Linked DNA regions of Tribolium castaneum. The main gene of each other region encodes a partner of the protein of the gene in region 7 in a complex. Links are inferred from orthologs where the notes say so. Each region holds a gene or a part of one and is shown on either strand. Other genes may lie near its edges.

Region 1 (3,720 bases), on a different chromosome or scaffold from region 7:
AGCTTCATCTCCTGCGGCACTTGGCCGAGCTTAGCATCTATTGCGGAAAGTTCGAAAACCCCTCCTTGCACGTAGTCCAAATTTTCGACAAAATCAAGCTGTACATGCCAACGCCTCCCGAAAACGCCGATGTGTACAAAATGCCCAACTTGGAGTTCTCCTTTGTAGAGTGTTTGTTGTTCGCGTTCCATCGCTTGGCTCGACAGTGCCCCGATTTTCTCACTCATGATCCCCAAATATTGAAAGATTTCAGAGCAAGACTGGTTTATTTTTCTAGAGGAGTGCAAGGTTGCAACAAAGTTCTGAACTCGAAGCCGATCACAGGCCTAGATTCCGTGAACGCTTCAAAAGCCAAAATTGCGCCCTCGCTACTCAACAACATCAACGTTTTGATCAAAGACTTGTTCTACCAGCCCCCAATGTACAAATGTAACGTCACGCTTTCTTTCAAGCAGGAGGTTGTGGAAAAGGAATTGGTGGGATTTTCGATTTAGTCTTCTAGTCTTTAAAATTAAAATTTGCAGAGGAAACCGGCCACAAGTGGGCAAAAAAGACATGTGCCTATCACGTTCGATAATGGCTCTACAGGGACTAAACAGACCCGACCGGCTCGTTCGGGCGACAACGTTAAATTGTATACACCACCTAGTGGAAAGTTTAGTAATAACTTCCAATACGGTAAATTTTATGGGAAAAATGTCTATTTGTTTTAATGATTGGTTTCAGATCGTGGGGGTTCACGAGGTAACAGGTCGAGAGGCCGTGGCTCCCGAGGAAGGGGCAGAAATTGGAGAAATTAATTTCAATCACCCTTCTAACAGTATTGCAGAAATGCAATTCAAATCATTATGTTCAATGCTTATTAGTAAGTTATCAAAACAATACACAACCCGCTTGTGTTGTAAATACCCTAGATCTTATTTTTTTTAATTAGTTCAAGTTAAAACGTGTGCTGGTTTTAATAGTTTGTGTAAAACCTCTAGAAATTTAACAGAATATGTTTTCTATTGTCTTAGAGTTCAATAAAACATTTGGAAAACTAACTTTATTGCATATCATCCACAATCTTGCACATAATCCTATCCAAAATAAAGCACGGGTCTGATTTGTTGTCCTCCTTTGAAGCCTTCTCTTGGTTTACTAAAAGTTCGGTTTCTACGAGCAACTTTGAGTCAACTTCCATGGGTTCAGGCAGGTTTTGAATCGCTTGTTGCAAAATTTCCATAACTTTGTCTAAATGCTTCTGGAACCTATTGGCGGTCTCAATCCTTTGTCGCCTTTGCAACTCCATCATGACCCTAAGCGTCTCCCTAGCCTGATGTGGCCGGAATTCGTTCAACAAGTGGTGAATGTGAATAAATAACAGACTTAAATCTTCGACTTTCTCAGCCCGCTTTGGCGAGTCGGGACAATTCACAAGTAGGTCTAGCAAGTCCAAGAAATTGGCCAACAATGACTGATTTAATTTTTTCAACTCCCTTCGTCTATCAAAGTGGAGTGGATACAAACGTTTGATTCCCTAATAAAATTATTAGTTTTAACCACGGGACGTATTTAGGGACTTACTTGACTCTCCAAAGGCCTGATTATGCTCTCTTCGGTATTGAAGGCATTGCCGAACATATGATACGTGTCTTGAATCGGAGGCGGCGGCCTGGGGGTTCGCCCCCGCCGGATCATCTCGTCCGTGTAGTGGTTGATGTACTGCATGGGGGGCAGTGGCAGGGAACTCACCTGGATCGCTTCCGACGATGCCATTATTTATTTTAATACAATAATTAAGAAAAATACAGTTGTTGACAAACGACAAATGTCAAAATTACATAAAAACCATCACAAAAACCTAAAATTACTAGTTTATTGGCAAGCCTGTTCCTTTTTCAGTTTGACAGCTGTGGTAATACCGCGTCAAGTAAGCTATTTTTTAAAATTCGTATTTATCTTAATCATCTTTGTAATAAATTTGACGAAAATCAATCACAGATCATTCTTTTTTCCTTTATCGTGAATCTTAGCCCTTTTTGTGGAGTTTAATTCACGTTAGGGTTTGACATGTTTTATAACCTCAACCACGGTTGATTTTAGGATGTTGATGCCCAAAAAGAACCGGATCGCGATCTATGAATACCTCTTCAAGGAGGGCGTCATGGTGGCTAAGAAAGACACCCATGCCCCTAAACACCCCGAATTGGAAAGTATTCCCAACTTGCAGGTGATCAAAGCTTTGCAGTCTTTGAAATCGAAGGGATACGTTAAGGAACAATTCGCCTGGCGGCACTATTACTGGTATTTGACAAATAACGGTATTGAGTACCTGAGGACCATTTTGCATTTGCCGCCTGAAATTGTGCCCTCAACGCTCAAGCGACAAGCTAGGACCGAAACAACGCGTGCTCGTCCCACGCCATTCAAATCAGAAACTTCCAGTAAGCCTGCCGAAGACCGTGCCGGATACAGGCGGACTCCCGGGGGGCCTGGATCTGATAAGAAGGCTGATGTGGGGGCTGGCACCGCTGATTTGGAATTTGTAAGTTATGGTAGGGGTTTTTGACGATTTTTACCACGGTTTGTTACAGAGAGGAGGCTTTGGGAGAGGAAAAGCGCCCCAATAAATTAAGTTTTTTATTACAATAAGGCATGATCAGCAAATAAAACCTTGTCGATCGTTAATTGTTTTATTAATTCCCTTTACTCCTGTATAGAGGACGCCATTATAGACGTCATTGTGACACTTGTCAAAATTGTTTACAATAATACATGTGATTAATTCGTGTAATAATGGGACAACAGAGTTCCCAATTTCACGAGTATTTTAACGATATAATCACGGATGAGCCCGTGCTTACTTTACTCTCTGAAGAAATTCATACTCTTAGTTACGAGAAATTTTTGACAATACTTGGGGAACTCAACCAACTGTAATAACAGTTCCTGTGTGGTTGTTATTCATTGTACTATTTTAGCTCCAAACAGCGTTTAGATTCCGAGGGGAAACAGTTAGTGTTTGCTGTAAAGAAAGGGACAGATTCTACAGTTTTCTGGAAAGCTACGGTGCAAATAGCTTGTGTTAAAATTGACTCTAATACTCAAAAAGTGAGTACGTACCGACTGTTAAACCTTTATGAGTTTTTAAAAGTGTTCAAGACACTTAAATGTCAGTCTTCAGCTGAAGAACAGAGCCGAAAGTATGACTGTTGAGCTAAAGTTTTTTACTGATTTAACTTTTTATTAGTGGAATGTCCGTCTCACAAGTGGTTCACGATATTACGGACAGTCCTGCAGAGAACACAAAAGAATGTTGCATTTGTTTAGAAAGGAAGCATGAAGTTATTTTGCCCTGTATGCACAGTTACTGCTTGCCGTGCATTGAGGAATGGTTTGTTTTTTTGAACTTGATCAGAAATCGGAAAAAAATGTTATTAAAAATCAACTATGATACTTTTGTTATTCAAGTAACTGTTAGATTTTTTTAAGGAATGCCACTCATGACACGTGCCCGATTTGTAGAGAAAAACTGGAAAGTACCGATGACACATGGGTTATATCTGAGGTGCCAGAAGCAGAAGAGATTAGCAAAGAAATCAAGTCCAGTTTGATGGAACTTGCTGAAGACAAGGAATCTCCATGTTTACCTTCTTAATAGTCTGACATATGATTTCATGTTGTTAAATGTTATTTTACGAATTGATAAATACATCTCAAAACATACTGTGTAGTTAT
Region 2 (3,823 bases), on a different chromosome or scaffold from region 7:
TATTGAATATGTTTAAGGGCAGACAAATCTACCTTGAGTCAACGACATAAACTTCAGTGAGATTTATTGAAAAACGAACTTCTCGTGTCAACCTTTTCATGAAAAAGGGTGTTTAATCGTTTATAAAGGTCGTGTTAACGTGTGTTGTTAAGTTTACCACGTAATAAAACATAAAGCACAACTATTCTATAAAAGCATTTTGCAAAATTCTTATTCATTATTTTCACTATTTTCCCCCTTTCCATTGTACAAACAAGCCGATAATGTGAAATTTTAGTGCAAAAATTAGTGGTATTGCCACAAATTGTGTTAAATTTAAGTCTCCAGAAAATTCGGTTTTAAAAGTAGGGTTATGTTATCATTTGGAAATGTCAAATCTTTCATTTTTTGGATTTTAGTGTCCGTTTCTGCTCTTTTAGAGCGTTTATAACTATTATTCAATATGTTATAGGCAGATAAATCTACCTTTGGGTCAACGACATAAACTTCAGTGTGATTTATTGAAATGTATATAGGGCAAGAATGAACTTTTCGTGTTAAACATTTTGATGAAAAAGGACGTTTAATCGTTTATAAAAGGCATGTTTAGGTGTGTTAAGTTTGCCATATAATAAAACATAAAATACAACAACTTTTCTATAAAAGCATTTTGCAGAACTCTTATTTATTATTTTCACTATTTTCCTCCTTTTATTTGTGCAAACGAGCCGGTGATGTGAAATTTTGGTGTGAAAATTAGTGGTATCGCCACAAATTGTGTTAAATTTAAGTCTCCAGAAAATTCGGTTTTAAAAGTAGGGTTATGTTATCATTTGGAAATGTCAAATCATTCATTTTTTGGATTTTAGTGTCCGTTTCTGCTCTTTTAGAGCGTTTATAACTATTATTCAATATGTTATAGGCAGATAAATCTACCTTTGAGTCAACGACATAAACTTCAGTGTGATTTATTGAAATGTATATAGGGCAAGAATGAACTTTTCGTGTTAAACATTTTGATGAAAAAGGACGTTTAATCGTTTATAAAAGGCATGTATAGGTGTGTTAAGTTTGCCATATAATAAAACATAAAATACAACAACTTTTCTATAAAAGCATTTTGCAGAACTCTTATTTATTATTTTCACTATTTTCCTCCTTTTATTTGTGCAAACGAGCCGTTGATGTGAAATTTTGGTGTGAAAATTACTGGTATCGCCACAAATTGTGTTAAATTTAAGTCTCCAGAAAATTCGGTTTTAAAAGTAGGGTTATGTTATCATTTGGAAATGTCAAATCTTTCATTTTTATGGATTTTGTGTCTGTTTCTGCTCTTTTAGAGCGTTATTAATTACTATTGAATATGTTATGGACAGATAAATTTACCTTTGAGTCAACGACATAAACTTCAGTATGATTTATTGAAATGTATAAAGGGCAAAAATGAACTTTACGTCTTAAACATTTTGATGAAAAAGGGCGTTTAATCGTTTATAAAGGGCATGTTAAGGTGTGTTAAGTTTACCACGTAATAAAACATAAAGTACAACAACTTTTCTATAAAAGCATTTTGCAAAATTCTTATTCGTTATTTTTACTATTTTCCTCATTTCCTGTAATAACTGATTCGCCCTTCGGAGGCCATTCTGAATACTGTAATGAATTTTTAAAGATAAAATTTGCGAAATCGGAAAATTTTAAAGAATCTTTAAAAATTCATTAAGGTCCCAAGGGGTGTTTGTCCGAACATGATTTTTAACAGTCAAAGGCCCTATCGAAGAGCTTAATCTCCTGCAAAAATAAAGAAAATTGCATATAAAGGGGGTGAAAAAAAATCAGTTTGCATTGCTTGAATATGAGAATAAAAAATGCAGAAATTAAATACAGTTAAGTTTTAATTTGTAATAGAAACTCATTACAATGGTCAGGAGATGTTCTACAAATGTGTTATGCAAGTCAGCGTAACAACTTATTGATGTTTTTATAATGAATTACGATTATTTTGATAATTTTCCTGGTGTGAACTTGGCTGTAGAAAACGAGAATGGTGGGGAAACGGTGCTAGCTCCATGCGCGCAGCCCTTGTCTGGTCGACTGTAATTTTCATGGTGCCACCACCATTTTTGGGGCTGTCTCCGCCGACATACACTGACAACTTACACTTCAATCAAAACATAACCTCCAAAAACTGTGATAATCTTCAGTAATTGTCGGAAATAGGCCGTTTTCCGCAAAGTGATTGTCACTGTTACAGAAATGGGGACTCCTGGCACGGCCATCGACTCCCTAAACGCCGCCCTCAAATGCAACATAATCCCCAACCAGGAGTACCTCCTCCAGGGCTCAGTCTTGGACCAATACGTCGAGGTGCTCCTCCACCGCTTGCGCGGGCTGTGCGACAACGTAGACAGCGGCCCTGAGTCGTTCCACGACCACGAATTGTGTTTCACCCTCCGGGCCACCAACCCAGGGGCCCCCATGGTGCTCCCACTGCGAGTCCGGCGAGCCCTCGACGTGCCCGACGCCGCCTGGCAGCTGCGCTACGTGGGGCAACAGGAGCTAGGCGACAAGAACCGGCCAACAGTCGTCAGATCGAGTATTGACATGGCTTGCAGTTCCACAATTGTTGAATTTTTGACCGAGCTTGGATGCAGAGTGGATTTTGAGTACATCGCCCGGGGGTACATGTTCCGCAAAGGCAGGATGAAAATCACAGTGTCGAAGATTTTCAAAATGGGGAGCATGACGAGTAAGCCGGGCGAAGGCGTAGAAGCGATTTCCCAGAGTTATTTAGTTGAATTGTCCGTTTTGGCCCCGAGTGGACAAGATGCTATTGCGGAGGATATGAGAATTTTTGCCGAGCAGTTGAGGCCGTTGGTTCAGCTTGAAAAAATCGATTATAAAAGACTTGGAAATTTACCGTAATTTATTTATAAATAAAATACAATTAAGATTTAACTAACAACAATCTATATAGCCTTGAAAAATCCTTAAAAAATATTGCCAAACCTTTCCCTAAAACCCTGAATATGTCTTTTTATACTTTTTTAAATAAAAAAGTTAGGGGGTGTCTACTAAAGTGATGACACCTGGTATTTTAACTACTTTCCCAAACTTTGACTGATATCTTAAAAACTAACAGCAATCTACACAGCCTTGAAAAATCCTTAATAAAATATTGCTTAACCATTCCCTAAAACCCTGAATATGTCTTTTTATACTTTTTTAAATAAAAAAGTTAGGGGGTGTCTACCAAAGTGATGACACCTGGTATTTTAACTACTTTCCCAAACATTGACTGATATCTTAAAAACTAACAGCAATCTACACAGCCTTGAAAAATCCTTAAAAAAATATTGCTAAACCTTTCCCTAAAACCCTGAATATGTCTTTTTATACTTTTTTAAATAAAAAAGTTAGGGGGTGTCTACCAAAGTGATGACACCTGGTATTTTAACTACTTTCCCAGACTTTGACTGATATCTTAAAAATTAACAGCAATCTACACAGCCTTGAAAAATCCTTAAAAAAATATTGCTAAACCTTTCTCTAAAACCCCGAATATGTCTTTTTATACTTTTTTAAATATAAAAGTTAGGGGGTGTCTACCAAAGTGATGACACCTGATATTTTAACTACTTTCCCAAACTTTGACTGATATCTTAAAAATTAACAGCAATCTACACAGCCTTGAAAAATCCTTAAAAAAATATTGCTAAACCTTTCCCTAAAACCCTGAATATGTCTTTTTATACTTTTTTAAATAAAAAAGTTAGGGGGTGTCTACCAAAGTGATGACACCTGGTATTTTAACTACTTTCCCAAACTTTGACTGATATCTTAA
Region 3 (5,116 bases), on a different chromosome or scaffold from region 7:
GATCGTGTAGAACACTCCAGTAGCTAACTGGAAGCGCTGCCAGAATTAAACCAACAGCATTGACCCACTGGTGGATGTCTGACGAGGGAATTGTGACATAGCCTTTGGCCACGACGTCTAGCAAACCGTTGGCTACGGCCACCGGACCGGCGGACAACGCCATCAGTTCCACACAGCTGGTGTAAAGAATATGAGCCCCGGCGTTTGGGAACTCATTGAACCGCCAATCAATTACGGAATTGGCAGTGGCGCCCCCTAGAATATCAACGACTCGCTTGACCACTTGTATGTAATAGTCCAGTTCGGGGGTCCACATCTCGTCAGCAGCTCGTCCGAGGTACAGTTGGTAGGGCTCCGAAAGACTGTCTTTGAGTGTCCCTAAGACAGCAGCCACCAACCGTCGTTTCAAAGGTGGACGGTCCCTAAGCCTAGTCTCGTAATAGTGCAAAGTGTTGTACAAATAAGTGACCGGACGGTCATGAAACTTGTACAAACAACCCAAGTGTTCTAACAGAATCTCCAAACTTTTGGTGACTTGCGGTATTTCCAAAAACCGGTGCACCACTATATCAAAAACCGGCAAAAAGCGCAAACACACGTTGCCAAAATAGGGGTGGTAACCACTTGACTGTTCCTCGGGGGCAAACTTCTCGGGGTATTTCCGGTGAAACTCCAAGTGTTTCTCGTGCCAGTTGGTCTGGTTCCAATGATCGGGCGAGTTGTCTTTGACGAAATCCTGCACCCGATTCCTAAACTCTGTAGCTTTAAGCAACACCAACTGGATGATGAACGAACAGACTTGAGCCTCGCTCCCTTCCTGCGTCCGCAGCGCCAAACACAAGACCAACCGATCGATTGTCACAATATTGTACTTCCAGATCATGTCATTGATCGTATCCACGCATTTGTTAACATGTTGCCCCCCAGGACTGTTACTAAACTCGAACACGAGACAATCACAAAACTTCCTCAAGTGGGCCGAAAGCGCCCTTGCCCCAATCCTCTCCAGGATTTTGTAGGCAATTGGCGTGATGTGATCAGTCTCGAGGAGCATTTTCCACAACAAACAGAGGAAAAGTGGGGGCGCTCCCGCAACCCCAAAATGCGCCATCATGTCATTTTCGTTGTTCATGGACGACCACTTCCGGTACTCCTCCTCCACTGCTTTCTTCAATTGTTGTTTGTTTTCTTTAGGGACGGCATGTTGCGTGAAAAACTCGGCCAGAGCCCTGGGGAAGCATTCGAGGGTGTGGGGGGCCCACGCATGGGGGGTACTTTGTGCAATGGTCGCCAGCAACTCGTGACACCACGAGCCGTCGGCCCCCGTCACGTGCGTGGCCCTAGCTAGGGTCAAAACCAGCGCCCGATTCAACTCTTCCGATTCCGCCGAAATTAACGTCTTGGGTTCGGCTAAAAAGCGGCTCAGTTCGGGCTGAACTTCGCCACTGCCCAGCCCCGTGATTAGACGCAAAGCGGTCGATTCGACACATAAGTGCAGTTGGGTTTGGTTGGCTTGCGGCACCGCTGCCAACGAATGCAAGTGGCTGAGTAACTGGACACGGTAGTGGGGGTGGATGTGGTGCATCCGATAACTAAACATCTCCAGAAGTGTGTAAAGGGTGCCCCAAGCGTGTGACTTGTATACGGTTGGCAACAACTGGCTTATGAACCCTTTGATGCCCAACGATTCGATCTCGGTGTACACCAACAGGCGACTGTACGTTTCCACCAAAGCTGGTGATAGTGGCATTCCTAACTTGGCCTGTGCTAGTTTAATCACGTGTGTGACAATACTATGGATTAAGCTCATTTTCGAATGCACAGTTAATGAGTCCAAGACGGCCATGCTTAAAGGCGCGGTAGGTGGGGCTGTTGATTTGGGGCTCCCTTGGATCGTCTCAACTAGCGCTGCCATTGGCTTACTGTAATAATCGGGGTTCGTTGAGTAGGCGTTGCACAACAAGGCGATTCTGTAGTCATTTCCCATCGCTAACACGGTGTTATTAGGGGGCACCAACTGTTGGAGGAAATCATGATGGTTGCGTAGTTTGGCGGGAATTGGCCAAGTCAAGTTGGTCATTTCGGCTTGCGCTTTCTTAGTCAAGTGGATCCAAATGCACGTCATTGCCATCTGTCTCGTACACTGGGGCTGGTTGAAGTCCGGAACGGGCAAAGGGGGCTCCTGTTCCGGAAACAACAGTTCGTAAAGCCGCAAAACTGGGAGGAAATTCGAGAGGGGGTTCTTCTGAATCGAACCGGAAATAAACTGCAAGAGGACCCACATGAGTTGGTCGCGCCCTCTCCGCAAGTCGCGCCCTTGCAGTCTCGAATGCAACGATATAACAATGTTTGGGAAACTCGCAAATTGGAAAAGAACAAAATAAATTAACTGGGACGACAAGTGCAGCCATAACCCTTGAGTGGCGCTCTCATCGCCCTCATTTTCCGTGCGTTCCAGCGCCAAAATCACCAACTCGACCAGTTGTTCCTCAAGGGCGGCACAGTGTCTCTTGTGCTGTTTCTGCAACCCTAACATGCCACACACCATGTCGCGACTGTACGGCTGTTCCAGAACGTATCGTAATAAACCGGTTTGCTTCTCTAGTAATTCGGGAGCGTACGGTAAAGTGCCCTTAAGCGAGAATCGCAACGTGCACGGGTCAAGTTTCCAGGGATTGACCAAGTGTTCGGGACAGCCGCTGTGCTCCACAACTGGCCGCATTTCCGCCTGGCCTACGATAGCCACCATTTGGGCACAGGCCCGAAAACTGCCAACGTAATCGGAGAAGAGGGCAGCAAGGCGCCAGTGGGGGCAGTCAGGGTAGGCCTTCTGGAGCTCGTTCACTAGGAGATAGCCAGGCAGGAGGCACGCGTTCCTGTCCATGATTCGTTCAGCGACGCTTAAAAGAGCCTGGGTTTGGGGCTGCAAGCCCGCGTTCAAGCGCCAGGGGAGACTTTTCGCCTTCTCGCAACATCCCTACAATCAACAATCAAACAATTACCACAACAATTCCCCACTTACTTTCATAATTTCGCGAACGCCCTTGTATTCAACCAAATCTATAATTTTCCGCACGAGTTTAAAGCACTCGATCCAGAACCGCGCATTGGTGTGTTGTAGTTTATCGAAATTCATCACCACCTCACACACGATACGGGCCCCAATGGTACCGTTGCGCACGACACTTTCCAGGAGCTCCATCAAGAGCTGGAGCTTGCTTTGGGAACATAGTACAGCAGTGTTGAGGTACTGGCGAAGGGCGGTGTCTAGCTGCTCCTGGGGGATGCTCCGCAGGGCTGTGTTCAACTCTTGTTGCCATACAGCCACCTTTTCCTTTTCGGCACTGGGGCGGTGCACTAGAAAGCAACTAAAGGCTTCTTCGATGCCTTCAACTTTGAGAATGTCGGTTAGGACGTTTGTTAGTGGCTCGCCCATCGTGTCCACGGTTATTTTTCAGGCGAAAACATTATTTTGTGGTTATTTGAATGGGATAATAACGGTAGGTTATGTTTGGCCGACTACATGTTTAGGCAACACATTATACAAGCGCCTAACACTGCAGAACCGTATTCGATTATTTTGACTTGCTGGGTGAATCCTCAGAGATAATAAATAATTGCGTGCGTTGTAAGATGTTATCAACTCTCAAACAACGTCAATCTAAATTATTCCATACCTAGCCACATTGTAATAAAATTCATATCAGCCCGAATCTATTCGTTTATTTGCATATCCACTTCATACGTGAAAATTTGTTTGCTTATCTTTTAATAAAGGCAATATTATTACCGCACGTCTCGTTCATTATGCGCTTAAAGAGTTCTTTTTGTCTCACATTTCGATATGAACTCACAGTTCATAGAACAGGTGAGGTGTCACTCATTTAAATCGTTTTAATTTATTTGTTTCTTCTCCCTAGGTGCAAATTTTAATGCACGCTCAACAAATTAAATGTGCGGAAAGTATTTTTGGGAAATCAAACTACATGTGGCTTTGCAGCAAAAGAACTCCCGTTATTTGGATGTCGACGAAAGATGAATTCTTAATTCGACAAGCCCTAACAAAGGTACAATTTAATTGTTGCAATTAAACGTGCAATTATCCTTCTTTAGGTCACTCCTGACCAACAGGTGAAAGTTATGAAACAATTATTGACTTGGCTGGATAATAATCCCGAAGTCCACTCTTTGAAAATCCCTGAAATGTCGCTAAAGCTCCTCAACAACATGGCTAATGCCAATGCCATGAATGAAAGGACTTTTTCAAGAATGAATAGTTTCAGAAACAGTCTGAGACGCTTGTCCTTAATTACGAACCGAATCGCTCCCGCAAACACACCCAGAAGATCCGTAACTTTCAACGACGTTCCCATAATTTACCGCATAAAATACTGACAAAAAAGTAACGAAACCTTTACAATATCTATGTAAAATTTGTGCCGAAATAAATGCACCTTAAAATTTTTGTTTTTTGAAAAATCTGAGTTAAAAATCAGGGTAAAAAGTCAAATTCAACGTTGTTTTTGATGTTTGAAAAAAATGCATAGAAGATAGGAAAATGACCAAGAAAACTAGGCATATACTTGATTATCATAAATTATTGCAAATTGAATGAACCCATTGGAAATTTCTAGCACTCCCTCCCTTGTTTGAAATTCTCCACGCGTCCGTGGCGCATGCGCATTTTCATCTTACGTGTCAAATAAACGTCAAAAAAGCGCCTCCCTTGCCCCTCTCCGCACTTTTCGGGCCAGTGTCGAGGCACGGACGTGTCAAAAACGCGTGTGTATGTTTTTCTGTTGAATTATTTCCACTTTTCCGTATTTTTTTCCTGTGAACGATGGCTCCCAAACAGCGGATGCGTTTCGCCAACGAAAAGGCCAGCAAGAACGTGGTCTTGCGAGGGAATGTGCCCAAATCGTCGGTGAGTACGCTGGACCATATTGTTTGTTGATGGGGAGCTGACGGTGCCCCTTTTGCAGAAGCAGCAAAGCGAAAACTCGCCAGTGGGGCCCATGATCTTGGCGCTGTTCATCTTCGTCGTGTGCGGATCGGCGATTTTCCAGATTATCCAGTCCATTCGGATGGCGTAGGCTAGGCTTCCCTCAAAGGCTCA
Region 4 (4,788 bases), on a different chromosome or scaffold from region 7:
CACACATTCGCAACAAATTCAAACTCTTCAGCTACTTACCCCCCGATTAATTGGCAGCTGTAGTCGCATAGACAATCTCATACCCACGTAATACTCTGTTTGTTTTCGTTGAGTCCCATTGCGTTGAAGTACTGACTGACGTCTGTTGTTTCTTTAAATTATGACGCAACTGGAGGTGCCTTTCGGAACGTCTTTTATACATTATTTTATAAGTAACCGTTTTATTCAACTGTTGTGTTTTGTCGGTGATTTAATTGTGCAATATGAAAGAAATTATTACAATTGGAGGTTGGTTTTAAAATTGAGAGAACCTAGATTGTATATAATTATGAATTGTTGGTCAGTATTTTAAGAAACAAAAGTATATTAACAAATTAGAGAGTATAAAGAGTTGAATTCTTTTATTGTACCACTTTGTATATAGGGAACAAAAACTTAGGAAAATTCTCTTGCCATGTAAGGAAAATATATGACCATAGAATAGTTGCAATTTATGCACAAGAGTATTTTATTTGTTGTTTGTTATATTTTTTTAAATGCGTATTATACGTAAACAGGGTCCAGTCACCCGCGTTACGTTGTAGAAAATATTTTTTTAAGTTGTTAATTTTTGTTTGACTGGGTCCCAAGTATTCTAAATGTTATATGTTTTATATTTTATATAATGCGTAGCATGTGCTAACATACATCGTGAAAATGTTCAAGTTCCGCTGTACTTATTGGAAAAGCCACCCGTTCCGACCAGCCACACTTCAACCATTTGTTGATAGTATAGTTTCAAAGTCTATAAAATTAATGCTTTTTATAATCTACTCATTACGCTACAAAGTGTTAATCTTTGTTTCCACTGTTATATTTAGTTATTTTTGTAAGATTATATCTTAATAAATAAATATATCTCCGTACACATTAAAAACTATTTCACTAGCGTCCATATGGATGTATTTGGGTGGCACTTTTGATGTTAGTCTTAATAGCAGAGGGCGCCTTATTCATCGTCATGGTTTGCGTGCTGGGGGGCATCTGTCCTTGCCCGGGAGTGCCCCCTGGGCGCCCCTGCGGAGGCACCATCATCCCTCCCGACGTGGGATTGGGCTGACCGTTAGGGTTCGCCCCCATCTTGAGTCCCTTCCCCATTCCAACAGCCGCCACAAGCGAGTGAGTATCAGCCACACTGGAATTCTGCTGCGTACTTCCCCTGGCGGAAGACTCAACTTCCCACTCCTCCCTCGCTTTACTCACCAGTTCCCAAACGTGGGACACAACCTTTTGATACGCAGCAATTTGTTTCTGAAAGTTTGCGTTGAAACATACTCTACCAAAAATTTTAACATACCTGTGCGTTCTCATACGATAAAGTTGACGCCTTGTGTTCCAATTGCATCATTTTATTCTCCGCCAACGGTTCTAGTTTGGTTCGAAGATAATCTGGGACTAAATCATGGGCGAAGGTTGTGACTCTGTGTTCGGTCATTTGGGCCAATTGTTCGTCCCGCTCGGGGGACAACATGAGGGGCAGTACTGTGAGATTTCTGAGGGTGGGGCATTTGTCGTGGCTTAAAACCTTCGAAAGGGAGGTGAGTTGGCCGGACATAAGGGCGTAATTGTCCAAAAATGTGGGCCAGTTGAGGGTCTCATATTCATTCTCCACCTTGTAAATCATTGAAGCTATCGATGATTTTAGGTCGTTGACACGCTGGATTATGGAATCGAGAGACGATTCGAGTTGTTTTTCTTCCCGTTGTTGCATTTTGCTGTATTTTTGGCGCTGTTTACAAAAACATAACCTTAACCACGATGACGGTATGTCGGCTGTGGCATTGCCGTCTCGAACTCCAGGCCTGCATGTTGACATTGTGACGTCACAGTAAGAGTCTAAATGATCATAACCTAACTTTCTGAATTTTTGCAAAAAATTAATTTTAACTATGTTGCGTCCAACGTTTTATGCAAGAAACGACGGAAAAGTGTATCTAAAGAATCCTGATACTGCAAATGTGGTCAACGAACGGTCAACTATAATTTTTATAGTGACATACGTTGTGATTTAAAGTACCTTATCCGTTTGTTATTACCCGAAAAACATATATTAAAGTTTATATTTTTTGATAGTTTAAACCATCTAGCCGTACTTAAACGTCTAAAGTTACGTCTATTAATACAAAAATTCTCCTTATGGGCCTAAATTTTGAATAACCGCGACTTAAAGACGACCGTTTTATCCAAGTTTTAACACAGGTTCTTATGGAATGCAACATGTTATTATTCGCTAAATATGTTTTAAATTAGTCGTAAAAGTGTGATCGAAAGTATAAGAATATGACGAAGAATTTTACGTCATCTCTAGTCACTTCGTGATATTTTATTATAAAATCATCCCGAAAATATTTCACATAAACACGACTGTTCTTGGTAACAGTCCAATTAGTTCGGGGTATCTTTCTTGACCATAATGATCGCAGGGATTCTTGTTTGGGAAAGGAAAACATAGGTACATAAGGACCATTCATGTTAGACACACAATTGGGAACACAACACTTATTCGGCATTTTCTAAAATTAGGAATGCAATAGGATTAAGTATGTTAGGTTTAGAGACTGAAATATGCCTTATCTGCTTATTTATTACCAAATTAAACGATTAAAAACAATAAAACCAAATTTATAAACAAAAATAATGCAAAACTATCCTAACCTATAATTGTCAAAATCACGTCACACAAGACTATAAACACACAAAATTCATTCCCTACAACGCAACCACAAAACAACAAATTCGTAAACAACAACAAATTACTTAATAACACTCTCAAAAACACCAAAAAGTACAATATATTCAAACGATGCGAACAAATGTCACGACTCTTACGATGACGTCACAATAAACAAAAGCTAGTAACCTGACGGCCTGGAGTTCGAGACGGCAATGGCTGTGGCCCTAGAATAACACTTTAATAGAAGCGGAACATAATGGTTGGCAATGAATTCCTAGCTGAAGCCATCTAGCCGCATCATCACGTACTAAAAATGGCGCGAATTTAAAATAATTCCGATTACTTTATATTTTTTTAATTTTTGCTCACGTCAAAATGATGCCAATACCTTATCAAATACAATTATTATGAAAATTTCTTAATTGTATTTGAAAAGGTGGATGCACAGACAGCACAGATGGAAGAATTTTACCCAACATGACACGATCACATTTAATGTTAAAGATATTTATTAAATCCATTAAGTTTACGAAACTAATAGTCGTCACCGAATCGATGATAAAGACATACTTGCAATCAGCCAAACTGGCACCGGTCTGGCACCTTATGTTTGCAACTTCTGTCTATGGGAGTCTCCTCGCAGTGTGACTCACTTGCGGTTCGATCTCAAAAAACTCACTTTTGGGAAAAACGCACCTATCTACGTAAACCTTCTGGAGCTCATTACTACGTTATATTTTTGGAGATCATGTTGTTCCTAACCGATAGTAGGCAATAGTCTAACCTAAAGACGACATTTTGATCCACTATAATAATAAAAATTAACGTGATATTATAAAAAATAAACTCAAATTAAAATCAACAAAAATGGCGATTCAAGTAAAAAGTGAGTGAAAATAAAAATTATTTTTCTAATGTTATTTTCAATTTGCACAAGAAAATTCATAGTGTACGGTCATCAGGGCACTCAGAGGAATCGTTTGGTGTAAGTTTCAGCTTGAAAATCCAGAAGTAGTTAAAGTAAAAAATTACCAAGTTATACTTTATGTTTTATTACGTGGTAAAGTTAACAACACACGTTAACATACCCTTTATAAACGTTTAAACACCCTTTTTCATGAAAAGGTTGACACGAGAAGTGCATTTTTCAATAAATCTCACTGAAATTTATGTCGTTGACTCAAGGTAGATTTGTCTGTCCTTAAACATGTTCAATAATAATTAATAGCGCTCTAGAAGAGCAGGAAAGCACACAAAAAACATTAAAGTTAAAATTTAACACTTCAGAAGAGATCATAATACACCCTAACCCTACTTTCTGAACTTTTGTCCTTATCTGGCAATAGCACATAATAAAGGTAGAGATTTCGACCCTAAATATCCTATCATAACGCTCTGAAAGGGCAGAGATGGAGACAAAATTCATAAAAGTGTAAATTTTGTCATTTTCGGGTGACAACATAACCCTACTTTTGGAACCTACCGAATTTTCAACAAAACGAAACAAACAAACAATGTGGTTATACGCATTGCGATACCACTAATTTTCGCACCAAACTTTCACATTGCCAGTTTCTGTTTAAATAAAAACATGCATTTTTATTTTTCCATTGACTGCATGCGAAACTTTTATAATTTTAGACGTTTATAGGCAAATACATTTGTCATAATTAATTTTTTTACATCAATGCTGTTCTATTTTAAATAATTCTGTGTATGAATGTTTTTAAATTTGACGAATTTTTCCAGTGAATATTTCTGGTAATGACCTGTTTTAGACTTAGTGACGTCACATCCGTGACGTGTCCCGAGGTTAGGTGTGCGGCGCAGGCGGCGAGAGCGCTTCAGTCGACAGCGAGCAATGGCACGGGTCAGATCGCGAGCGGGAAGCAGGAGGCGAGGCGAGGTGAGTCGGGTCGGTTTATTTAAATTATTGTGTATTGTGCGGTTTCCTTCAATTTATTCAGTTTGTTACTTGCCGTTGTCGCGAACGGACGTGTGCTCAAGCAAATCTAAATTTTCCGGTTTAAATTTTCAATTCGGTGACTAGTGATCGCGTTTGAGTGACACATTTT
Region 5 (4,545 bases), on a different chromosome or scaffold from region 7:
CCTAACTGTAGATTGTGTTTTATAATTATTTTCTTTGGTATAAACAATTTTGATATTTCTTTTATTTGAATAATATAGTACACATGTTTTTTGTTAAGGCCAATCTGGTCACCCTAGGCAACACAAATCTGAATTGTTTAAGGAATTGCTTAATTCGGTTGTTTTCTCTTTTCGTTTTAAAAATTCAACTGGAAGACGCAGATCACACTCAACCAATCGCACTGTATATACGAGGCGCGCGCACAAACTCGCAGACCTAACCTCCCTATTTACACCGAATTTGAGATTAGGTCGTGCCCTACCTTACCGGCCGTGTCCTATTTTCCTATACCTATCACCGCCTCGTCCATCAACTCATCGTCAGTGATACACGGCGAGGCCGAATGTGGACTTGGTGCGATCAACGGCGACGGCGCCGGTGACTTAACTATATGAACACTAACCGAAGGCGATTGGGGAAACGTAACCACGGCTGCACCCTTATCGATTTTTCCGGCCGCCGAAAAGTCTAAAAGCACATCGTCGTTCTTCTTCACGTCCTTTTTATCGTCTTTGGGGGCGGGCGCCACGAACTTCGACGTCAAATCGATGCTCTTCGTGTAGAGGTTGAGGGGTTCGGAAATGGGCGGGAGCACCGATTTGGACACCGCGATTGGATAATTCACTTTATAGGCGGAGTCGTCCTTGGTCTGGGCGAGGTTCTGGGGTTGGTCCTTTTTATCGTCTTCGTCTTTCAGTTTTGGACTAGAGCTAGGGAGGGGCGTGACGTTGTTCCTCAATTTGACATCGACCGCATTGTCGAAGGTTTTTTGAGGGAGGGCGAGGGGGTATTTGAGGTCCGACTTGTTCATCATATCGAAGATTTTCGTATCGACAGTCCGATTGATGTTGTTTAAATTATCCGAACTTACTTTCGGTTTTTTGTCGTCGACTGATGCACGTGCCGATAGTTTCGGTATTTGGAAATTTTTGTCTAATTGACGCACTGTCATTAAACCCTCGACAATCGAAGGTGGGTTATAATGATCCATTTTCGACATCTTGTAAATACCGTCACTCTCGTCCCTGTTTGAAGTCGGACTCGATTTTCGGCCATCCTTCGACGTGAAAATCGACTTCTCTGAACTGCTTTTGTTCAGTTTTGGGCGGTCTTTTCGGCTCAAATCGGTCGCACTTTTCGGTGAATTACTCAGTTTTGTTAGTTTCGAAGGCCCGCTTGATAGTTTAGCCCCCGAAGGGGCTTTACTCTTCAAACTTGAATAATTGGGGCCACTTGTCGAATTTACAAGTTTTTGCCCCAAATGTTGGGGTTTTTTCGACGCAGGGCCGCTGTTAACCCCCGGTTTTAACCCCGTGTGAGTTTTGGGCGACCCTGAGCCTGATTTACTCACACTTGTTTTACTTTCTTTACTTCTGGTTTTATTTATTGTGATTTTCATGCCGTCCGAACTGGGCTTAACCATATATTCCGAATTTTTCGTTTCACCGATTTTCCCACTTTTTCCCTCGTTTAGTTTCGTTGAAACTTGCCCACTTCTGTCTTTGTTTCCTCCACTACTAGCCCCCTTGCTACTCAAATCGGTGACTCCATCGCAATGTTGGGCCGACTTTAACTTATCGACAATGGCAGACAGTGAGCCTTTTCGGTTCCTCACTTGATTCGAAGTCGCTGATTTTGACAAGTCCGTGGAACTGGGTGACGGTAACCCGTCCTGAACCCCGCTCAAATTTTCAGTATTCAAGTCCAACGGTTTCACTTTCACTGATGATTTATTTTTCGACGCAACGTTAAACACACCCGAAATTTTTTTCTCCTTGTCTCTGGACGAATCCTTCGAGGTGGATTTCGTCTTAGAATCGGAATTTTTCGGTGAGTTCGCGGCACTTTTCAATGTGGACATGCTCGGTTTACCGGAACCACTCGTCGAAGGGTGTTTGGGGGAAGTACCGTGGCTTTTAGGACTCGAAATACCGGGAATTATGTGTTTAGGACTACTGGGAACATGGGCTGGGGAGTGTTTAGGACTGTGATGCGATGAGCCCGTTTTGAGAGTGGGTTTCATTAGGTTGGGGCTTAGTTTACCACTCATGGAAATATTGCGATTTTGAGTGGGCGAAGCGTTGAATTTTCGCATCATGCTGGGGCTTGTTGGGGTGCTCATGTTGAGGGGCGGAGACTCGGCCGGTTTTATGCTGACGGTGACCGGTTTGGTGAGGGGGTCCTGCTTCGGGGGCACCTTGTCCGGGGGGCCCATCGGGCTCTCGTCGCGTTTTCGCTTACGCTTCTTCTCAAGACGCCCCTTTAACGGGAAAATCAGGAAAAAATCGTAAGTGAACAAATAAATCAACAAATTTGTGAAATTTTATCGAAAGCGGGTCAGGCCTGCTAACCACAATAAAGAAATTACTTTAAAATACAAAGATTGGAGCCGGAAAAGTTTTAGCAGTTTTACAAAAATCTTGGGTTTTTAGCTCAAAAATGTGCCCAACTATGCAAAAAAGGCAACAAATAACAGCATAATTTTGTGATATTTCGAATTGTTTTGGACAAAAAATTGCGTTCCTGATTGCAAAACTTACTGAGACATGTAATTTTTGATTACATGATGGTTTTCAGGTTGTTAGTGACATTTCACAATATATCTGAGATTTTTAATTAAAAAAGATAAATCTTCGTTAAAATTTTTTGTTTTAGTTTGGCGTAATTTTGACAAAATTTCGATCGCAATGAACAAAATTGAGTAAAACAGCCAAAATACTATGAAATTTCAAGTTATTTTGTGATTTTTTGACGTGTTTGATCAAAATTTTACAAAACAAATAAGTTTTAGGTCTTAAAACGAAATTAATCATTCGAAATAAGCTATAATACCAATTTCGATCTAATTACTTGCCTAAAACAATATACTCATGAAGAAGGCAAAAATAACGCCACTTTCGGCCTGATTTGGCGATTATTCGTTTTGTTTTTTAATGAAATTTTGGTAAAATAATATAATTCTCCATTTAGTTTGTTGAGTTTTTGGTTAGTTAAAAAAAATACTTAAAAAAAACTTGCTTAAACGAATGAAAATTTCGCTCAAAAACGAACTAACTCAAGTAAGATTGTTTAACTTGTTGATTTCTCGGTCAGTTTCGGTAAAACACAGTTCAAAAACTTGCTTAAACCATCGAAGAGATTAAAAATAACAGTTTTTTGTTTTGTTTTTCTGGCTTATTTTTGACTCAAGCACTTTGAGCTATATCACTTGAAATAAATAATATCATAAACTCGGATGCGTGATTATGATTTTTAGGCAAATTCTGATGACTTCATGCAAAATAAAACAGTATCTAATTCAAACACGAACTAAATAGATACAAACAATTTTAAATAAATAAATGAATTTCGGTAAAATTTGGATATTTTCAGCTATTTTTTGCAAGCTGTGCTTAAACGCCAGATAAAGGCAGAATTAACACAATTTTCGGTTTAATTTTGTCATTTTTCGATTTGTTTTTACCGAAATAATAGCGTTTTTGACTACATAAACCTGCTGAGGCGCTCAAAAAAGGCAAAGATAACACTTCGATAAAAAAATACGTATTTTCGATTAAATTCTGATCAAAATGAAGAAAAATGAGTGAAACAGGCAAAATACCATTAATTTGCATTTATTTTTGCGTCTTCTAGATATATCTTGACAAGATCTTACAAAACAAATAAGGCTATCTGGTCTAAAAACGGATTACCGAAATAAGTAAAAATGACAATTTCGATCCAATTTTGGTGATTTTTCACAAAAAAAAACAAAAATGTACTTAAATACGTGCAACTATGGCAAAAATAATACCCTGTTCGTCCTAATTTGGTGATTTCTCAGCAAAATTTAATTCAAAAACTTGCTAAAACTTTCGGAAGGGGTAAAAATAACATACAACACATTTTTAGTTGTTGTTCTGGCTTATTTTTGACACAATTTCGTTCAAAAACAAGCTAAATCACGTGAAAAAAATAAAATACCATCAATTCGATGTGTTTTTGTTATTTTTAAACATGTTTATGGCAAAACAAAATGAGTATCATTTGGTTAATCATACACTAAAGTGAGAGAAATAATCCAAAATAACATAAATTTGGATCACATTTAGTAAATGTTTCAGCCAGGTTTGGTGAGCTTTTCGTAAAAAAAGTGTCTTTAAACACAACCAAATTCTGGAATTTTTCGGTTTGTTTATAACAAAAATTTACAAAATAATTGCGTTTCTCCCGTAAAATTTACTAAAACAAAGTAGCCAAAGATTTATGTAATTTTCGCTTGTTGATTTTTCGACCTATTTCAGCACAATTTAGTTCAAAAATTTGTTTAAACTATCGAAGAAGATAAAAATAACACTTTTTTTGGTTTTCGTGGCTTATTTTTGACACAATTTCGCCAAAAAAAAAATTTCAATGAAACAAATAAAATAACATCAATTCTGGCTTATTGTTGTAATTTTTAGGCAGGCTTATTCAAAACAGGTGAGTACTATTTTCGAACTAAAACGAAGAAAATAATCTAAAAC
Region 6 (4,011 bases), on a different chromosome or scaffold from region 7:
AGTTTTGCCGTAATTGAAAAATTTAAAAAATGTCAACCAAATCCAAGTGTAATTTTTACTTATTTTTTCATTACCAAATTATGTGGGTTGACAAATGTACTTCCAAAAATTATTCGATAAAAAAATCGAGTTCTAATTTTACTTTTATCAAGGAAAACCCCAGTGCTTTAAATGCGGACAATCACGTCATCCTTGACATTCCTTATCCTATTTTTAACAGTTCTGCGAATCGAGTTGCCGCATCACTTCCACTCATTTGTTTATTCTAACCTCAATAAATCGTAAAAAAATCAATAAAATCATGCTTACCTTCAATGACATATCTGGCGAAAGAATCATCACAAAAATGCACTACACAAACATTCATTCATTTTTTTGCGTGATTTCAACAAGAAAATGTGCTCAGTGAAAAAACCAACTGTCTACGAACAAATAATGGTTGGTTATGACTACGAATGAATCATGGTGCCTTTGATTAGATAAAATAATTTTATTTAAACATTTGTACAAAATAAATTAATAGTCGTAATCGTCATCCCTGTCCAAAATCCCATAATCATCACCCCCATAATCGTAATCGTCAACCCCCGGAGGCACAAAAGCCCCATTTAAGGCCACTGCGATTTGTTCGCCAAAACCCAATCGCGTAGCCACCCCATATACAAGCCTCATAATCGCCAGTCTGCAAACTTCCATAAAAATCCTGTATGATACAATATTTTTTTACCTGAGAAAATTAATCGCATTCGTTTCTTTTTGCCGCAAAATCAAACCTTTGGTATTTTTCTTGCGTATTTTCGCATCACTAGCACACAAAATTATCACAATAACGACAAAAATTATTTTGAAAAAATTCATTTTAATTGTTGGACGCATCGAAACGAAATGATTGATTTGATTGTTAATAGAACCATGTCAACAATTATTAATAAACAAATCGTGTAAGCCAAGTACACTTTTGGTGTATGAAAGTCGAGCGGATTTCGTGTACAGTTAAGTCCAATTGGGTCGAGAAACGGAACTTGTATTTGAATTTGGCGGGGCGGGTTCAGGGACTTTTGGTTTTGAGGTTTGTTACAAATTTTGCATTTTTTACGATTTTTAAGGAAAAACAAGGAACTTACCTTAATTACAGCGACAGCCAATCAATTGTGATTTGGATGGAAATGGGTGGGATTTTGGTGCAATTGGTGGGATCTTGGTGATTTATGTAACTAAACAAAAAAATAATTTATTTCACTTAACCACCAAAAAATCACATTTGTACCCTACCTAGCTGATTTTATTGCTCAAATGTCCGTTACTTTGGCTATTCTGGTTAATACTTTGTTCACCTGTCCCGTTAACATTCGAAGGGGTTAACAAACGACTCCTCCGCCTGGTGTAGTGTTGCCACAATAAAAGTTGTTGATCGTCGATAAATTTCGAACACTGAGCATTCACCAATTCCCTCCGGAAGTGTTCATATTGCAACAAATCCAAAAAATACAAACACATTGGATATTTCAAATATTTGGCGTATTCGGGCTCCTTCCAATAAAGCAAATACTTCAAATAGTTAACAAACGTACTATCCTTAAAATAACCACGCTGTGCGAGAACTAAAACGCAAAAAATTGTATTTTTTCCCTCCCGAAAAAGTGAGGTTACGTCATTACAGTTGAGATAATTAGGATTTCCGAGACACTGCACAAACTCTAGCTCAATCTGGAAGCGGAGTCTTTGCTGATCGTCGGTTTCCGGAGCCCCTGACATATAATTCCAGCCTAAAACTTGTTTATTACCTAAATTTAATTAAAGGACGCTTACCTTTCCCAGCCATGTTTGTTGTGCATAAAATGGCGCGTGATTCGAATTCGAATTTTTTTAATTAATCAATTAGGATAAATGCAAGTTCGTGTTGTAAGAGCGTGCACTTAAAATGTCACAAGTAACAACAATAGAAAAGCGACCATTAGAGGCTTGGCAAATTCCCTTGTTCTTCTATTGAAAGTATTATTCTTGCGTAATTCAATTCTCAATAATAAGAAATCGGATCGAAACGGTACATGTTGTAAGAAGCGTGTGGAAAAATCAATCGCTGGTGAAAGTAGCCCAGTTATTTAATTGAGCGGGAAATTGACCACCAATAAGAAAATAACTGACTAACATAATGATCCCCAACACGAGGAATTTTCATGGAAATTCCCATGGTGGTGGTATATGGTAATGGTATTTGTATGAAAACAGGTGGATGGGTTGCGGCTTTGTCTACAAAACATTGCTGCTTTGTGTGTGAACAATTTTATTGTTTTGTTGCTGCCTTTCAGTAAGTCGAGATTTTTTCTTTTCACTTTTGCGGGATCAATAAAAAATTTAAAGTGAGGACTTTAATCGCGTTTTTTTTGGCTCATTTATTGTAATTTTGAATTATCTTATCATTAATTATTTCATTAATTAATTTAACAATTTTCTAATTATTTAATCAGCTATTTAACGCCTGATTAGCGTTTTTAGTCTCAAATATGTTTAAAAATCATAATTTCTTTTTAATTTACTGTAATTACGGTTTAATTATTATCAGTTATTATTACTATTAAATCCTTTTTAAGTAAAGAATTAATTAAAAAAATGCTTTTCGATTTTTACAATTTTTAATTAAATTAAAGTTTCTTGGTAATCATAATTAAAATAAAAAACAAAGTCACCCTTTTATATGATTTTGCTTCATTTTTCGATCATTTGTTTTATAAAAAATTTGATGCAATAATTAATTCACTGTTTAATTTAGTAAATATCAGTAATTTATCATTGCTAATTTTAATGGAAACACATTACTTATTATTTTATTAATGTATTAATGAGAATTGACGAAATTCATAAAAAGTTCACTGCATTATTTTGAAATTTTTTTCTATTTGTTAAAGCAATTGTGCAAAAACTCGTGTATTGTTACGCGGCTACTTATCACAAGTGCTGTGTCCACAATCAAATATTTGCCGAAATCGTGTTTGACATTTCCTTGTACGCCACTGTCCTATTACCTAACTTTTTCACCAGTGGCGTGCACGTTACACAACACGCAAATAAATCAATTCTTAATCGTTTTTGAGGTTTCTCAACAATGAGCAATAAATCAGCGGTTGCGGAATTCTACAAAAACCGACACATCCTCATCACGGGCGCCACTGGTTTTATGGGGAAAGTACTAATCGAGAAATTACTACGCTCATGTCCTCAATTATCAACAATTTATTTGTTAGTTCGTCCAAAAAAAGGGAAAAAACCTAACGAAAGACTTGAAGATATCATCAATTGTCCTGTACGTATGTCTATCACTTGTCAAAATTTAAATCACACGCCTTTTTGGCTAGGTCTTCGATAAGTTGCGTGACCAACCCGACGGCGAAAAATTACTAAATAAGATTTACTGCATTTCTGGGGACATTACCCAAACTAAATTAAATCTATCAAACGATGATGAGAAAACTTTAACGGATAACGTCGAATTGGTGTTTCACATGGCTGCCAACGTGCGATTTGACCAACCGTTGAAAAACGCGGTTCTATTGAATACAGGAGGGACAAAAAATTTGCTAGATCTGGCGTGCTGTTTCAAACAATTGAAAATTTTCATTCATGTGTCAACATCATACTGTCATTGCAATGAAGTCAAACTTGAGGAAAAACTATACAATGCGCCACATGACCCGCGAAAAATCCTAGATCTAGTGACCTGGATGGACGACGAAACGCTAAAAACTTTAACTCCAAAACTACTAAAAAAATCACCAAACACGTACGCTTATACTAAATGTTTAACCGAACAATTGGTGAGTGAATACAAATCAAAGTTACCTTTGGTTATCACTCGACCGTCGATTGTTACGGCCGCTTGGCGCGAACCAATTCCTGGTTGGGTTGATAATTTAAATGGACCAACAGGATTATTGGTAGGGGCGGGTAAAGGAGTGATTCGATCAATGCATTGTGACCCTTATTTGGAGGCAAATATCGTACCAGTTGACAGTG
Region 7 (4,209 bases):
GCCGCCTGGGCTGAATCCTCCCCTTGTTCCTTACTTATCATCTGTTTTTCAGTTGTCTTGAAATTTAGGGCATTATTGCATCATTTTATCGCTTGAAAGATTAATACTTACGACTTCGTCCAGTTCAAGACCGAACTCGAAGCATAAACGCTGGAATTCATCGTCGGCTGGAAATTGCAAATTGGGGCAATAAGGGGGCACAGTGATCAAACAACTTACTGAAAGTGCGCCCAAGGGCTTCGAATAGCAAATTGCGCTTGACACCCACAGTCGGCATTGTATTTTTTATTTACTATCACGTTTTTGTCTAAAAATGAACACGTTTAAAGTGTTTCACAACTGAAAAAACGATGACATGTGCGGGACCTGTCAATGTCAAAAGTTGAGGTTGGGTCAATTGTCAGCATCAGCGATCAGTTTTCGAGAAAAAACGCCAGTTTTTAAGATTATTTAACAATTAGTCTTCGTCAGAACTATAATCGGAACATAATAATGCAAATTTAATTAATTTTTTCCCACAATATTTTTTTTCGCCGGTTGTATTGGCACACCTGTCAATTGCGAGACGTAGCGTTTCTTATAACCTTAAAGTTACTTCGCCCAAACAAACAAAAAATGGGCTCAAAGAAGAAGAAGCGCGTTTCCAGCAGCTCCAGTTCATCAGATTCAAGCAGCGAAAGCTCCGATTCATCACCCGAACGGCGCCCGAAACGTAAAAGCAAGAAAACCGAATCGAAACCTGAGACTGAAGAATCGCCGAAGAAAACCAAAACGAAGGCAAACTCGCATAAAAAACACGAAACTCCGCCTGTGGCAAGTGACGAGGCGAATAAACAGGCAAAAAAGAGGGACAAAAAGCCAACAAATGAGGAAGAAACCGACAGGTATGATTGTTGGTGGTTTTAAGGGAAAATACTAGTTGTGTTTAAAGGAAACGCAAGCGGAGTCCTGTGCCTGAAAATCGGGACAGGCGGGAGAGGGACGATAAGAGGGTCCGGGACGATCGGGGGCGGCATGACGACAGGAGAAACCGCCCCAATGACCACCGTTCTCACGATAACAGGTTCAGAAACCGGCGTCCTGATTACAGAGACAGGGAACGGGATTACAGGAACCGACGGGACGATAACAAAAATTACCACAACCGGGAGCGAAACAGAGAGAACCATCCAAGGCGGCGTAGCAGAAGCGCCTCCTTTGACCACTCGAACGCCCGTTGGGGCCGCGAGTCGGACGACAAAAAATCCGACAAGAAGGAAAAAGACCAGAAGGAAAAGCAAAAACCGAATTTCGGTCTTTCGGGAAAACTTACCGAAGAAACTAACACTTATCGTGGCGTTGTTATAAAATATAGCGAGCCGCCTGAGGCTTGCAAGCCGAAACGTCGGTGGCGGTTGTACCCTTTTAAGGGCGAAAAGGCCCTTCAGACTTTATACATACATCGCGAAAGCGCCTACTTGATTGGGCGCGATCGCAAAGTTGTTGATCTCCCTGTAGATCACCCTTCGTGCTCAAAACAACACGCAGCTTTGCAGTATCGCCTAGTCCCTTTCACGCGTGAGGATGGCACCACTGGTTTGTGGGACAGCTGGTAGTGTGTTGGGTTTTTCATTGTTTTTTTCAGGGAAGAGAATAAGGCCGTATTTGATTGATTTGAACTCGGCTAATGGGACTTTTATCAATAATAAGAAGATAGAGCCGAGTAAATATGTGGAGTTGTTGGAGAAAGACGTGATCAAGTTTGGGTTCAGCTCAAGGGAGTACGTTTTATTGCATGAGAATAGTAAAGATGAGACACAGGATGACGATGTGAAGCAGGAAGAGCCGGCGGTTCAAGTCAAGAGTGAAGAGAATTGAATTTTGTGTATATATTTTAATTTAGCTTAGGTTTCTTTCAATAAAGTAATTTTTTCGATTAAAATTCCCGCTCTTACGATTTAGTTATTCTCTGGGCAGATGGCATCGCAGTGTGCGCGTTATTTTGACATTTGTGTATTTGAGGTTGTGTTCGAAATAAAAACTGTTCAATTGATTATTTCGTTTAATATTTAAACCCGTGAGTGTTTTTCCCCATCATTATGTCGTCTCAAATGAGCACGAAGGAAAAACTCCTTTACATCCTCGACGATATTGAGTTAATCTCCAAGTACGTCCCCCTTTCGGGTCATTTCGTATGGTTTTATTTGCGTTTTTTAGAGAAATAATCGAGAATTCAATCGCCCCCAAGCACCTCAAGCTTTCCGGCCCTGAATACGCTCAACTGACCGAGCTTTTGGTGGCCAAAAACACCGAACTGACTGAAACCCTTAAACTGGCCGCTGAACAGGCGCAAATCGACAAAAAAATGGACATCTTGAAGGCCGAAGTGGAGCGTCAGGACAACGACATTAACAACTTGCAAAAACAGCTCAAAGAGGCCGAGCAAATCCTGGCCACTGCGATTTATCAAGCCAACCAGAAACTCCAGTCCATTTCCCGCGCAAATAAACGGCCGGTCTCGTCCGAGGAACTTATCAAATTTGCGCACAGGATTAGCGCGTCTAATGCGATATGTGCCCCCTTGACGTGGCAACAGGGGGACCCGCGCCGGCCGTACCCCACCGATATTGAGATGCGGTTGGGGCTGCTGGGGCGGCTGATGAGCGATCCAATTAACGGGCATTTGTTGCAACAGCAGAACAGTTTGTCAGATTTACATAGACAGGGGCACCCGGGGGAAATACCCGCCGCGCAACAAAATCAATTTGCATGGCATCCCTCGGGGGAGATTCACATGAGTGTGGGGCAAGGGAGTGTCCCGATGGACACGCGGAACCATAAACAGGAGACCGAGGATGTGGAGGTCATGTCCACGGACTCCAGCAGCAGTTCCTCAAGCGATTCTCAGTAGTTTTGTGTTTTTTCCCTGGACTTGATTCATCATATTTATATAAAAAAATTAAGCGAGTTTGTGTGGAGAGTATACCATGAGGGGAAATAAAATGATAAATCAATAGATTGAGGCGGCTATTTGGGGAAAAAGTCTTGTCTGCTTATCTCATCAATCAACTCTTCGTGACAGTTTAGATAAGATCTTTGTTTGCGTCTGACGAATATTGTTTTCTTATGTTTGTTTATAATGGAAGGAAAATAAAACACATTTCATTGTAATACCAACGTCTATTATTTAATTATTCCCTACAAGCTGAAGTGATTCAAATTTATTGTTTGATGAAATGATAATCACAAAAATGAAGCAGTTTCTCATTTTCTGAAATTTCTAAACAACACTCACTTTCTATAAAAACAAGTTTGTTGTTTTGATTGCGTCTTTATGATAGGTACAAATTTACAAGTAGGTTTTTTGATTTAAATTTTTATCGGATATGTGAGTTTTTTATCACAGGGTCGTAGTGTGATAATTTGAAAATTAAACCGCGTTATTACAGCAGAGCTAGGGCTGAAAAACGAGAGAAAGTCACCGAATATTATCGATATTCTTAACAATGACATTATCGTATCACAGTATCGATAATGATAAGTTTCCAACTGTAATCAATTTTTCGAAATACTTTAACAAACGAGTTATTTATTGTCATTATTACGCGATATGGGTATCAATAAATCAATAACATACAGGCGACTCATTTCCAAGGCTTGATCAACTGGTGGTGCTTGAGCTTAACAATGCACTTTGATTAAACAACGCTTTAATGAATATCGACAATAACTGATTCTTTTTTAACAGCTCTACTCCCATTATTACCATGTGTTAAGGTAGTGGCGATGCACTTATTGTAGAACAGCACAAAGTGTCTCAACTTTCCAAAAATAATAGTACCTTTGCAACAAACGGAATTTCTCTTGTTACCTAATTTACTCAAATATCAAGAAAAATACTCTCATTTGATTCGCCTAGAGCACGTTTTCAAAGGACTGGAAACGTAATGAGAGTGAGCTGGTAGGGCTCAGTACAGCAGACTGTCATTACGTACTTATAAATAATCGGGTTTCTTATACACTTAACTTTACAGATATATACAGTACCACATTTTCCGAACTGTCAATTAATTATTACATGTATTTGCGCACTAAAGTACATTTTGTAGCTAAAGGCGTGTATTTACAAAATATTAAAATAATTTAGTGAAGCTTGGGTCCCGCGTAAAACCAGCGTGGTACCTCTAATGAGCTAATTTAGGATTCCTATAAATATATTATTGTCTTTTG

The links.
Region 1: MED4 (region 7) and MED7 share a complex: the UniProt entries of both Drosophila melanogaster proteins name them as parts of the mediator complex. The link is inferred for Tribolium castaneum from reciprocal best matches to the Drosophila melanogaster genes MED4 and MED7.
Region 2: MED4 (region 7) and MED18 share a complex: the UniProt entries of both Drosophila melanogaster proteins name them as parts of the mediator complex. The link is inferred for Tribolium castaneum from reciprocal best matches to the Drosophila melanogaster genes MED4 and MED18.
Region 3: MED4 (region 7) and MED23 share a complex: the UniProt entries of both Drosophila melanogaster proteins name them as parts of the mediator complex. The link is inferred for Tribolium castaneum from reciprocal best matches to the Drosophila melanogaster genes MED4 and MED23.
Region 4: MED4 (region 7) and MED8 share a complex: the UniProt entries of both Drosophila melanogaster proteins name them as parts of the mediator complex. The link is inferred for Tribolium castaneum from reciprocal best matches to the Drosophila melanogaster genes MED4 and MED8.
Region 5: MED4 (region 7) and MED1 share a complex: the UniProt entries of both Drosophila melanogaster proteins name them as parts of the mediator complex. The link is inferred for Tribolium castaneum from reciprocal best matches to the Drosophila melanogaster genes MED4 and MED1.
Region 6: MED4 (region 7) and MED31 share a complex: the UniProt entries of both Drosophila melanogaster proteins name them as parts of the mediator complex. The link is inferred for Tribolium castaneum from reciprocal best matches to the Drosophila melanogaster genes MED4 and MED31.

The regions. Positions count from the first base shown.
Region 1 is NC_087402.1:3,009,136-3,012,855, forward strand, and holds MED7 (mediator of RNA polymerase II transcription subunit 7), read right to left. Parts: upstream 1,759-3,720; coding exon 1,567-1,758; intron 1,520-1,566; coding exon 1,046-1,519; 3' UTR 1,031-1,045; downstream 1-1,030. Other genes in the region: cass (apoptosis inhibitor 5), read left to right, coding at 1-476, 525-678, 727-800; small ribosomal subunit protein eS10, read left to right, coding at 2,087-2,527, 2,577-2,612; RING finger protein 141, read left to right, coding at 2,779-2,918, 2,964-3,185, 3,233-3,376, 3,475-3,640. UniProt on the Drosophila melanogaster protein: Component of the Mediator complex, a coactivator involved in the regulated transcription of nearly all RNA polymerase II-dependent genes.
Region 2 is NC_087394.1:9,285,694-9,289,516, forward strand, and holds MED18 (mediator of RNA polymerase II transcription subunit 18), read left to right. Parts: upstream 1-2,024; 5' UTR 2,025-2,182; intron 2,183-2,233; 5' UTR 2,234-2,235; coding exon 2,236-2,904; 3' UTR 2,905-2,937; downstream 2,938-3,823. UniProt on the Drosophila melanogaster protein: Component of the Mediator complex, a coactivator involved in the regulated transcription of nearly all RNA polymerase II-dependent genes.
Region 3 is NC_087394.1:35,203,169-35,208,284, forward strand, and holds the start of MED23 (mediator of RNA polymerase II transcription subunit 23), read right to left. Parts: upstream 3,437-5,116; coding exon 3,023-3,436; exon of another isoform or gene 2,978-3,022; coding exon 1-2,977. Other genes in the region: stress-associated endoplasmic reticulum protein 2, read left to right, coding at 4,841-4,924, 4,983-5,093. UniProt on the Drosophila melanogaster protein: Component of the Mediator complex, a coactivator involved in the regulated transcription of nearly all RNA polymerase II-dependent genes.
Region 4 is NC_087396.1:15,801,116-15,805,903, forward strand, and holds MED8 (mediator of RNA polymerase II transcription subunit 8), read right to left. Parts: upstream 2,940-4,788; 5' UTR 1,856-2,939; coding exon 1,337-1,855; intron 1,291-1,336; coding exon 925-1,290; 3' UTR 832-924; downstream 1-831. Other genes in the region: CTD small phosphatase-like protein 2, read left to right, coding at 1-50. UniProt on the Drosophila melanogaster protein: Component of the Mediator complex, a coactivator involved in the regulated transcription of nearly all RNA polymerase II-dependent genes.
Region 5 is NC_087399.1:8,910,535-8,915,079, forward strand, and holds part of MED1 (mediator of RNA polymerase II transcription subunit 1), read right to left. Parts: intron 2,301-4,545; coding exon 318-2,300; 3' UTR 1-317. UniProt on the Drosophila melanogaster protein: Component of the Mediator complex, a coactivator involved in the regulated transcription of nearly all RNA polymerase II-dependent genes.
Region 6 is NC_087401.1:17,494,827-17,498,837, reverse strand, and holds MED31 (mediator of RNA polymerase II transcription subunit 31), read right to left. Parts: upstream 2,262-4,011; 5' UTR 1,823-2,261; coding exon 1,810-1,822; intron 1,767-1,809; coding exon 1,659-1,766; intron 1,602-1,658; coding exon 1,273-1,601; 3' UTR 1,216-1,272; downstream 1-1,215. Other genes in the region: uncharacterized protein LOC103313299, read right to left, coding at 310-339; uncharacterized protein LOC656943, read left to right, coding at 3,093-3,301, 3,354-4,011. UniProt on the Drosophila melanogaster protein: Component of the Mediator complex, a coactivator involved in the regulated transcription of nearly all RNA polymerase II-dependent genes.
Region 7 is NC_087397.1:1,783,790-1,787,998, reverse strand, and holds MED4 (mediator of RNA polymerase II transcription subunit 4), read left to right. Parts: upstream 1-1,956; 5' UTR 1,957-2,078; coding exon 2,079-2,146; intron 2,147-2,196; coding exon 2,197-2,890; 3' UTR 2,891-3,152; downstream 3,153-4,209. Other genes in the region: beta-PheRS (phenylalanine--tRNA ligase beta subunit), read right to left, coding at 1-56, 112-167, 220-277; uncharacterized protein LOC661495, read left to right, coding at 616-884, 932-1,575, 1,625-1,857. UniProt on the Drosophila melanogaster protein: Component of the Mediator complex, a coactivator involved in the regulated transcription of nearly all RNA polymerase II-dependent genes.